Linked DNA regions of Coturnix japonica. Each later gene encodes a partner of the first gene's protein in a complex. Links are inferred from orthologs where the notes say so. Each region holds a gene or a part of one and is shown in the gene's direction. Other genes may lie near its edges. The genes, in order: POLE3 and POLE.

Region 1 (4,321 bases):
TGTGTCCTGCTTTCAGCTCTGTGAACATTCACACTCTTCCTGTTTTTCAAGCCAGCACTAATAAAGCCAACAGGACCTGCCCTCGACTCTGGCACTGAGCACCTTGCAGACCTCCCTGACTTGTGCTCACTCATAACTTGCTCTGAGAAGTGGTTTACGGTGGACCCTGGTAGAACTGATGTGGAAGAAGAGGTGTGAATGGGCTCACAAGCCTGCAAGGGCTGAGAATACAGCTTGGCATTACTCCCTGGCCTTTATTTGGGAGCAGAGGAGCTTTGTCTGTCCCTGGCTCTGGACCAACATCATCTCTGCTTCTATTCCAGCCCACCCCCACTGCACAATAACACAAGTTTGCCTTGCTTTGTTCTTAGGTTATGCATATAGGAAATAACCTCGCCTTCTGGCAAAACAGAGATCAACTTCTGATGGCTTTGCTAACAGCGAGCCGCCAGCTGGTCCAGAAGCGGGCATTAGCAGCGTGTGTTACAGTTACAAATGGACCAGCTACAATCGGTCATTATTTCATTAAAAAGTAATGCAACACCTGCTACAGCACTTCACCCCTGAGAGCCGCCGAATGACCCTGCAGAAGAATTGTTAACAGAAGAATACATTGAAGAGTTAGAAACGAGATTTGAGAGCGGTTTGTGTGCGCAACGATAGGCTTTGATTAACACAATTACTGTAAGTGGGAAAGCAATCAGCGCTGTCACGCACACAGTCCTTCCTCCAGCTCTGACCTTTGTGTGTCCGTAATGCTGTGCAGCACCACAACACGTTACTGTGTCCAATACGAGCTGTAAGTCCAGCTATTAATACATCTCACAACTGCTGTGCATCATCCCCAATGCTGCTCCTGCTGCTGGAAAATGCATGTAGGAAAGCCTGCACTGCCAGATCCTGCTCCCAACCTGAAGTTAGCTTAAAAAGTTAAAAGTTAGCTTAAAAACCTGAAGTTGGGAGCAGGATCTGGCAGTGCAGGCTTTCCTACATGCATTTTCCAGCAGCGGGAGCAACCAACCCAGCACAGCACTGGGTCAACCTTCTTCTTTAGCAATAGGGATTAGTGACCAATCTATTGGTTCAGCAAAAGGAATCCATGGGCTGGAAACGTTCAGCTTTAGTGAGGCTGAGCTTATCAAGGCTTTATGAGCAATGGGGGTCTCCTGAGCTGGGGGCAGTGGATGGCAGCGGGTCAGAGCCCTCAATGGTGGGCACTGGGAGCACTGAGCACACAAAGGGCCATCAATCAGCTCATGTTTATGGGAGAAAGATGGATGTGGATGCTGATGTACTGCGTGGTGTGTCCTGTCAAGTCACATTCTATGTGTGGTGAGGAATAACGGAGTGCTGCTTTGTTCCACCACATCACAGTTCGTTTTCTTTCCAGAGGCCGAATGAGCCATATTGGCCCCCCGCCGCCATATTGTTCCCCCCCCCAACGGCGGCCGCGGGGCAGGGCGGGAAGGAGCGGTGCATTGTGGGCCGTGGCGGCGCGGGAGGCCCAATATGGCGGAGAGACCGGAGGACCTGAACCTGCCCAACGCCGTCATCACCCGCATCATCAAGGAGGCGGTGGGTGCGGGACGGGCTGCGGGGCTGGGCCATACGGAGACCTCGCTGTCCCTCATAGATCCTCGTTGTGGGGTTGTGCTGCTCGTAATGCCTTACCTGAGGGCCGTGCTGAGCTCAGTGCCACAGCAGAACCGATATGTGCTCGGAGCAGCAGCTGACAGGCCTGGGTTTGGTTTCCAGCATCAGTTCACGGGTCTTTATTTGCTTTAAAGCATCAGTTCACAGCTCTTTATTTGCTTCCCAGCAGCGATTAACGGGTCTTTATTTGCTTCCCAGCTGCCCGACGGGGTGAACATCTCCAAAGAAGCCCGCAGTGCGATATCCCGAGCAGCGAGTGTGTTCGTGCTCTATGCGACCTCATGGTAAGAGCTTGTTGTGTGTATAAGCTGCTGTTAGTAACTCAGATCTCTGCTGGTTGGGCTGGGGCTCGTTGCTGGGTGTGCATCCATCGTGTATTTTTGTGGCCCCCCTCTGGACACGTTTAGAACTGTAATAAAGAAGAGTGAATGATGGCAGTTATCCATTAACTCTTCTTGTTTTTGAGCAGTGCGAATAACTTTGCCATGAAGGGGAAGAGGAAGACGCTGAATGCTGGCGATGTGCTCTCTGCCATGGAGGAAATGGAGTTCCAGCGGTTTATTGCTCCTCTGAAGGAATCCCTGGAAGGTATCGGCCTGTGACCCTATGGACGGAGCTGCCATAGCACCAAGTTCTGTTTGCTTACATCAGACAAGCAGCACTTAATTGTCTGTCCTGTAAAAACAAGACTTTGCAAAAAAGCAAGAGTTTGCAAATACTTCTTTGCTTGGCATCTTACACTGCAGCTTGTGTGGATGTTAATAATGTGCACCTTAACAGCTGGGATAACATTTCACCACTGATGAGAACTGAGAAAGTCTTATCTGCTATCAGTCCCCTCTTAGGTCTGTGTAAGGGAAGTCGTAGGTGTTGCCTGCACATGTGAAATCCTGTGTCCTATTCAGCATTTATCTGCTGAAACTTCACCTGATTTCTCACGGGCTGGACAGCACAGCTCTAATAATAGGGGGAGCTGCTGCTGTGAGTTCATTAAGTGGACACTGGGCCCCAGCTGCTGTAGTGCTCACGTGGTGGAAACACCGGCTTGCAGGTTTTCACTCTTCTTTTTCTTTGTAGTTTACAGACGTGAACAGAAGGGAAAGAAAGAAGCGAGAAAAGATAAAGACAAGAAGGCAGACTCAGAGGAACAAGATAAGAGCCGAGAAGATGATAATGATGATGATGATGAAAGGATGGAGGAAGAAGAGCAAAATGATGAGGAAGAGGTGGACAACTGAGCTTGCCAATGGGACATTCAGGGTTGGGTTTTGTTACTAGGGATATAAATGTTGTAAAGAAATCTGGCCATGTCCCGTCTGGTTTCCAGTAGAGCTCTGTACTGTTCTTCTGGAATCTCTCTTTGGCTTTAGCCTGTACACAAAGGACTTGGCTAAAGCATTTCTCATGGGTGCCTCACCTCCCTGCACGCAGGGGACTTGGCAGCTTCCCCAGGTGCTGAACAGACAGTAATGGGTCTGGTATTTTTATGCTGGATTGACTCTGAAACAAAGGGAAAAAAGAGCAATGTCGGATGGCTCAGCACTGAAGTGACCTGGAGAACCTGAAAGAGCTTATGAATAAGCTCACTCAACCAAGCGGAGAGCTGAATCCTGGCTCATTAACCCCTCAGGGTTTAGAGTCTACGTGATGATGTTGAGAGCCTTAGAAGCTGACTGTTCAAGCTCTAAGTGATGTTTTTCCCTTCGTTGTCTTGCATTCTGGCTGTGCCTTCTCTCCCCTGCTCTTTCACAGTGATGCTCTTTCAGCCTCACCAGCTGGATGCAGCACACAGTACGAGGGTCAGTGAGCTGAATTCCTCCCCTCCATGAACCAGAATAATAACAAAAAAAGACTTGAAGGTGCTTCCAAAGTGAATCTATACCAGAAATGCTGTTTTGTGTCTTTCAAGCCCTTGGAGACAAAGAGGGAACTTTGATGAACGACCTTAAGCAAAGCTACCTGCAAAATTATGTCCGAGGAACAGCAAAAGGCTGCAGCAAGTGTGTGTTGTGCTGCAGCTGATGGTCTCAGCTCCTTCCCCTCCTCTGTGGAGCTGCAGCTCCTGCAGACAGGCTGCTGGGTGCTGCTGGGTGCTGCATTACTGGTTTCCTTCTATGTCTGGGGGCTTTATTCCATGTTATTGAGCTTTCTGGTACCTGTTGGGGTGTATCCCGTCCCGGACCAGGATTTAAATAAAAGTTCAGATTCTTTACGGGTCTTGACTGGTTGATTTCCATGGTTAATCCATGAGCTGTTCGTGGTGTGAGTGCGTTGCGGTTCAGGTCACACAGCGCCCACGAGCCAAATTCCCGCCACCGGGAGCGCGCCAAGACAAGCGCGCGCCAGCCCTTTCCCGCGCTCCGCCGCGCGAGACTTGTGATATGCAAATCAGGGGGGCGGGGCTATGCAAATCTGGCTGTGTGCTGCGGCGGGAAGCGGCGGCAGGTGAGCGCGGGGTCGCGGGTCTGAGCGCGGTTCGGCCGGTGCTGCGGGGTTATTGCGGGGAGTCGGGCGACACCGCACCGAGAGCGGCCCGCAGTGCCCGGATCGGCACGGAGCGTTACGGGGCCGGGAGGTGTCCATAGGGCCCGGCCCGTTGTGGCGGTGCTGCTCGGCCCCGGGGGCTCCGTCACCCACGGGCTCGGCGCAACCGCAGCGCCGCCGGGCG
Region 2 (3,807 bases), on another chromosome or scaffold:
TTCTGACTAACAGGTTGCAGGTGGGTAATATCAGGGCAGTCTCTGTTTTGTTGTCTCTTGTATTTGATCCCCTTGAACAGCAAGGGGTGAACTTTTGAGCTTAGGGCAGGGGGCATCAAATAAGGGTAGGGTTGAAACCAAGCGTCCTCTGATACCTGTGTGTCTCTTCCTTAGCCCTCAGCGATGGTGGATGAGGCCACGTGTGCTGCCTGTGACTTCAACAAGCCAGGGGCCAACTGCCAGCGCCGGATGACGTGGCAGTGGAGAGGAGAATTCAGTGAGTACAACGGATACCTCACTGTCCCACTCAGTGAGGCCGAGTGCACTAGAGACCTTGTTGTCCCATTGGATGATGCTGAGGCTGATTCCTGCTTCTCCTCTGTTGCCCTCCTTGCAGTGCCTGCGAGCCGCAGTGAGTATCACCGCATCCAGCAGCAGCTGGAGTCAGAAAAGTTCCCTCCACTGTTCCCTGATGGAGCACCACGTGCTTTCCACGAGCTCTCCCGAGAGGAACAAGCCAAGTATGAGAAGAAGCGGCTGGCAGGTAAGAGTTAATATCATGAGCTGAGGCACAAATCAATGCTGTTCAGCCAGAACCTCATGCAGTTCTGTCCACCCCCTCTGTGTGTCCACCTCCTCCATCCATGGTGGGCACCAACTGAGAAACAACCTGTTATGCCCTTGAGCAGATTACTGCCGCAAAGCCTACAAGAAGATCCACGTCACCAAGGTGGAGGAGAGGGTCACCACCATCTGCCAACGAGAGAACTCCTTCTATGTGGACACGGTGCGAGCTTTCAGGGACCGCCGCTATGAGTTCAAGGGGCTGCACAAGGTATTGGGCTGAGTCCTGCTTTCGTTGTCCTACTGGGGATGGGGAGTTCTCACCAACTGCTGTAAGCCTGAGCACTGAAGGATGGGTTTGTTCAGCCTTTGTACTGAGTAGGGAAATCATAGAATGGTTTGAGTTAGAAGGGACCTTTAAAGGCCATCATGTCCAACTCCTCTGCAATGAACAGGGCCACCTACAGCTGATCAGGTGCTCAGGGCCCGGCCCAACATGACCTTGGGTGTCTCCAAAGACGGGGCACCCACCACCTCTCCAACTTTGCCTGTTGCTCCCAGGTGTGGAAGAAGAAGCTGTCTGCAGCCATGGAGACAGGAGATGCCTCTGAAGTGAAACGCTGCAAGAACATGGAGATCCTCTACGACTCCCTGCAGCTGGCACACAAATGCATTCTCAATTCTTTCTATGGCTATGTCATGCGGAAAGGGTGAGTCTGAGCCGGCGTTGTTGCTGAGTCCTCCAGAGAACACCCAGGATTGTTTTGGGGAGGCTGCCACTTGCTTCACCTGTTTCCATAGCACAGGGATGGGTGATCCCTGGAACACTTCTCTCTTGCTTCTATTAATGGCTTCTGATCTTTGAGACCTGTAGTGTTGAGCAGCAAGGGGCGGCAGTCTTCTCTATCAGTGTTTTCTCAGATTCTCTAAAAAACCATTAAGAAGGAAAGGAAAGCAATCTACCAAGGCACAGTGCTGCCTTGTTCCTTGCTCTTCTCCTTCTGGATGCCTTCCTGCCCTTTCCCATAGCTGGCTGCAGGGTAGCACTGCATCCCCTTCACCTGGACTCCTCTGTTCCCAGAGCTCGATGGTACTCCATGGAAATGGCCGGGATCGTCTGCTTCACTGGGGCCAATATCATCACACAGGCCAGGGAACTGATTGAGCAGATTGGGTGAGTATGTGCTGAGCTGGGAAAGAAAGGTTCTTCTGCACACAGTGAGAGTGGGGTTTGAGTGTGGAGCATAGAACCAATGGGAGCATATTAGATGCTGAAAGTGTTTCGTGTTGAAGATTCAGATTGCTGGCATTGGTGGTTGTGGTTTTTCTGCTGCCTTACAAGGGCTCACTTTGCAGAAGGGACAGGATAGTGAAGCAAGAGGCTGTGTCCCCCATACAAGCAGCAGCAGAGCTGTTATATGGTATCAGCTTCTGATTTCCTGAGTGATCTTCCTTAGGAGACCTCTGGAACTGGATACAGATGGGATTTGGTGCGTCCTCCCCAACAGCTTCCCAGAAAACTTTGTCATCAAGTCAACCAATGCCAAGAAGCCAAAGGTGACAATCTCTTACCCAGGTGCTATGCTGAACATCCTGGTGAAGGTGAGTCTCACACCCATCCCAGCCAGCTCTGCAGTCTGGGGAAATGAATGGAGGACTGACAAGGAGAGAAAGTGTGGTATCTCCTGGTAGAACCAGCCCAGCTGTTGAGTCAGTCTGTTCTTTTGGGGCTGTGCCTGCAGGAAGGCTTCACAAATGATCAGTACCAGGAGCTGCAGGACCCAGCCTCTCTTACCTACATCACACGCTCAGAGAACAGCATCTTCTTTGAAGTGGATGGGCCATACCTGGCCATGATCCTCCCAGCTTCCAAGGAGGAGGGAAAGAAGCTGAAGAAAAGGTAGGACTCAAAGCTTGAAATATAGGAAAGCGATTGTCATCAAATACCACTGACTTTTCCACAGCAACCTGTGTAGGAACACCAGCAATGTCCAGCTATGGAGGTGCCTGTGGACCTGGGTCTGAACTCAGAAAAGCCATTTCCATCCTCCAGGACCCTCTGTCCTTAAAATGCTCAGCCTGGCTGTGCTCTCTGCACATCAGACAAGTTCTAACGTCTGCCATCCCCTGTCAGTGCCTTTCCATGCCATGTCTGTGCCATAGGAATGAAACTGATGCCAAGCACTGAATGGATGCTGTACACAGGGCCCCTTCCTCAGGGCCTCCTTATTCCCTGTGGTTTCTGGGTGTTGTCGGCAAAGGAGTTTATTCCTTGGTTGTGCTCAAATGGAAATAACCTGAAGCTTACTGGTAGGCACCATCAATGGTGGAGGAAGAGAAGGCTGCATCCATACTGATGAGTTGGGCAGTCAAAGTAACGTGGGCTTGAGTATCATTGCTATTCTGTTAGCTGAGTGTTCTGTAAGATTTATCTTGAGACATGCATACAAATAAAGGGTAGGGATAAGCAAAGAAAGGGAGGAGGGTAGCGTATTCTTATAACCTCATCAGTAGCTACATCCAGCTTCCTCTGAATCATTTCACTAAGCTTACGAACCTTCCTTCTTTTCTCTAAAGCTCTTCCTGATATCTCCCCCTGCATCTCCCCCACCTTACCCTGTCTCACCTCCTGGCCTTTACTGATGTGCAGTTTGGAACATTCCCCCACTTGGTACTGATGGACTGGGGCACAAACTGTTGTGCTTTCACAGCCCAAAATGAAACAATCCATGTACCCCAGGTATGCAGTGTTCAATGAAGATGGGTCCCTGGCTGAGCTGAAGGGCTTTGAGGTGAAGCGCCGAGGTGAGCTGCAGCTGGTGAAGATATTCCAGTCTTCTGTATTCGAGGCCTTCCTCAAAGGCACCACCCTGGAGGAGGTCTATGCTTCTGTGGCCAAGGTGGCTGACTACTGGCTGGATGTACTGTACAGCAAGGTACACATTGCTTTGCAGGTTGGCTGCCCCCTGCATCCCTAAAGTGGTGTAAAAGAAGGTGTAAGAGCTGGTTGGATGCTGCGATGTTAAATCACCAAACTCTTGCTGTGTATTTGTTCCCCCCTGCCTTCAGGCTGCCAACATGCCCGATTCGGAGCTGTTTGAGCTCATCTCAGAGAACCGTTCCATGTCTCGCAAGCTGGAGGACTATGGGGAGCAGAAATCCACCTCCATCAGCACTGCCAAGCGCCTGGCAGAGTTCCTGGGGGACCAGATGGTGAAGGATGCAGGGCTGAGCTGCCGCTTC

The links.
Region 2: POLE3 (region 1) and POLE share a complex: the UniProt entries of both Homo sapiens proteins name them as parts of the DNA polymerase epsilon complex. The link is inferred for Coturnix japonica from reciprocal best matches to the Homo sapiens genes POLE3 and POLE.

Annotation. Positions count from the first base shown.
Region 1 is NC_029532.1:789,162-793,482, forward strand, and holds POLE3 (DNA polymerase epsilon subunit 3), read left to right. Parts: upstream 1-1,439; 5' UTR 1,440-1,509; coding exon 1,510-1,575; intron 1,576-1,650; exon of another isoform or gene 1,651-1,711; coding exon of another isoform or gene 1,712-1,768; exon of another isoform or gene 1,769-1,785; intron 1,786-1,851; coding exon 1,852-1,937; intron 1,938-2,122; coding exon 2,123-2,241; intron 2,242-2,730; coding exon 2,731-2,891; 3' UTR 2,892-3,868; downstream 3,869-4,321. Other genes in the region: ALAD (delta-aminolevulinic acid dehydratase), read left to right, coding at 4,035-4,098. UniProt on the Homo sapiens protein: Accessory component of the DNA polymerase epsilon complex. Participates in DNA repair and in chromosomal DNA replication.
Region 2 is NC_029530.1:8,898,126-8,901,932, reverse strand, and holds part of POLE (DNA polymerase epsilon catalytic subunit A), read left to right. Parts: coding exon 1-20; intron 21-174; coding exon 175-277; intron 278-397; coding exon 398-544; intron 545-689; coding exon 690-835; intron 836-1,125; coding exon 1,126-1,274; intron 1,275-1,645; coding exon 1,646-1,738; intron 1,739-2,021; coding exon 2,022-2,166; intron 2,167-2,306; coding exon 2,307-2,464; intron 2,465-3,304; coding exon 3,305-3,500; intron 3,501-3,633; coding exon 3,634-3,807. UniProt on the Homo sapiens protein: Catalytic component of the DNA polymerase epsilon complex. Participates in chromosomal DNA replication.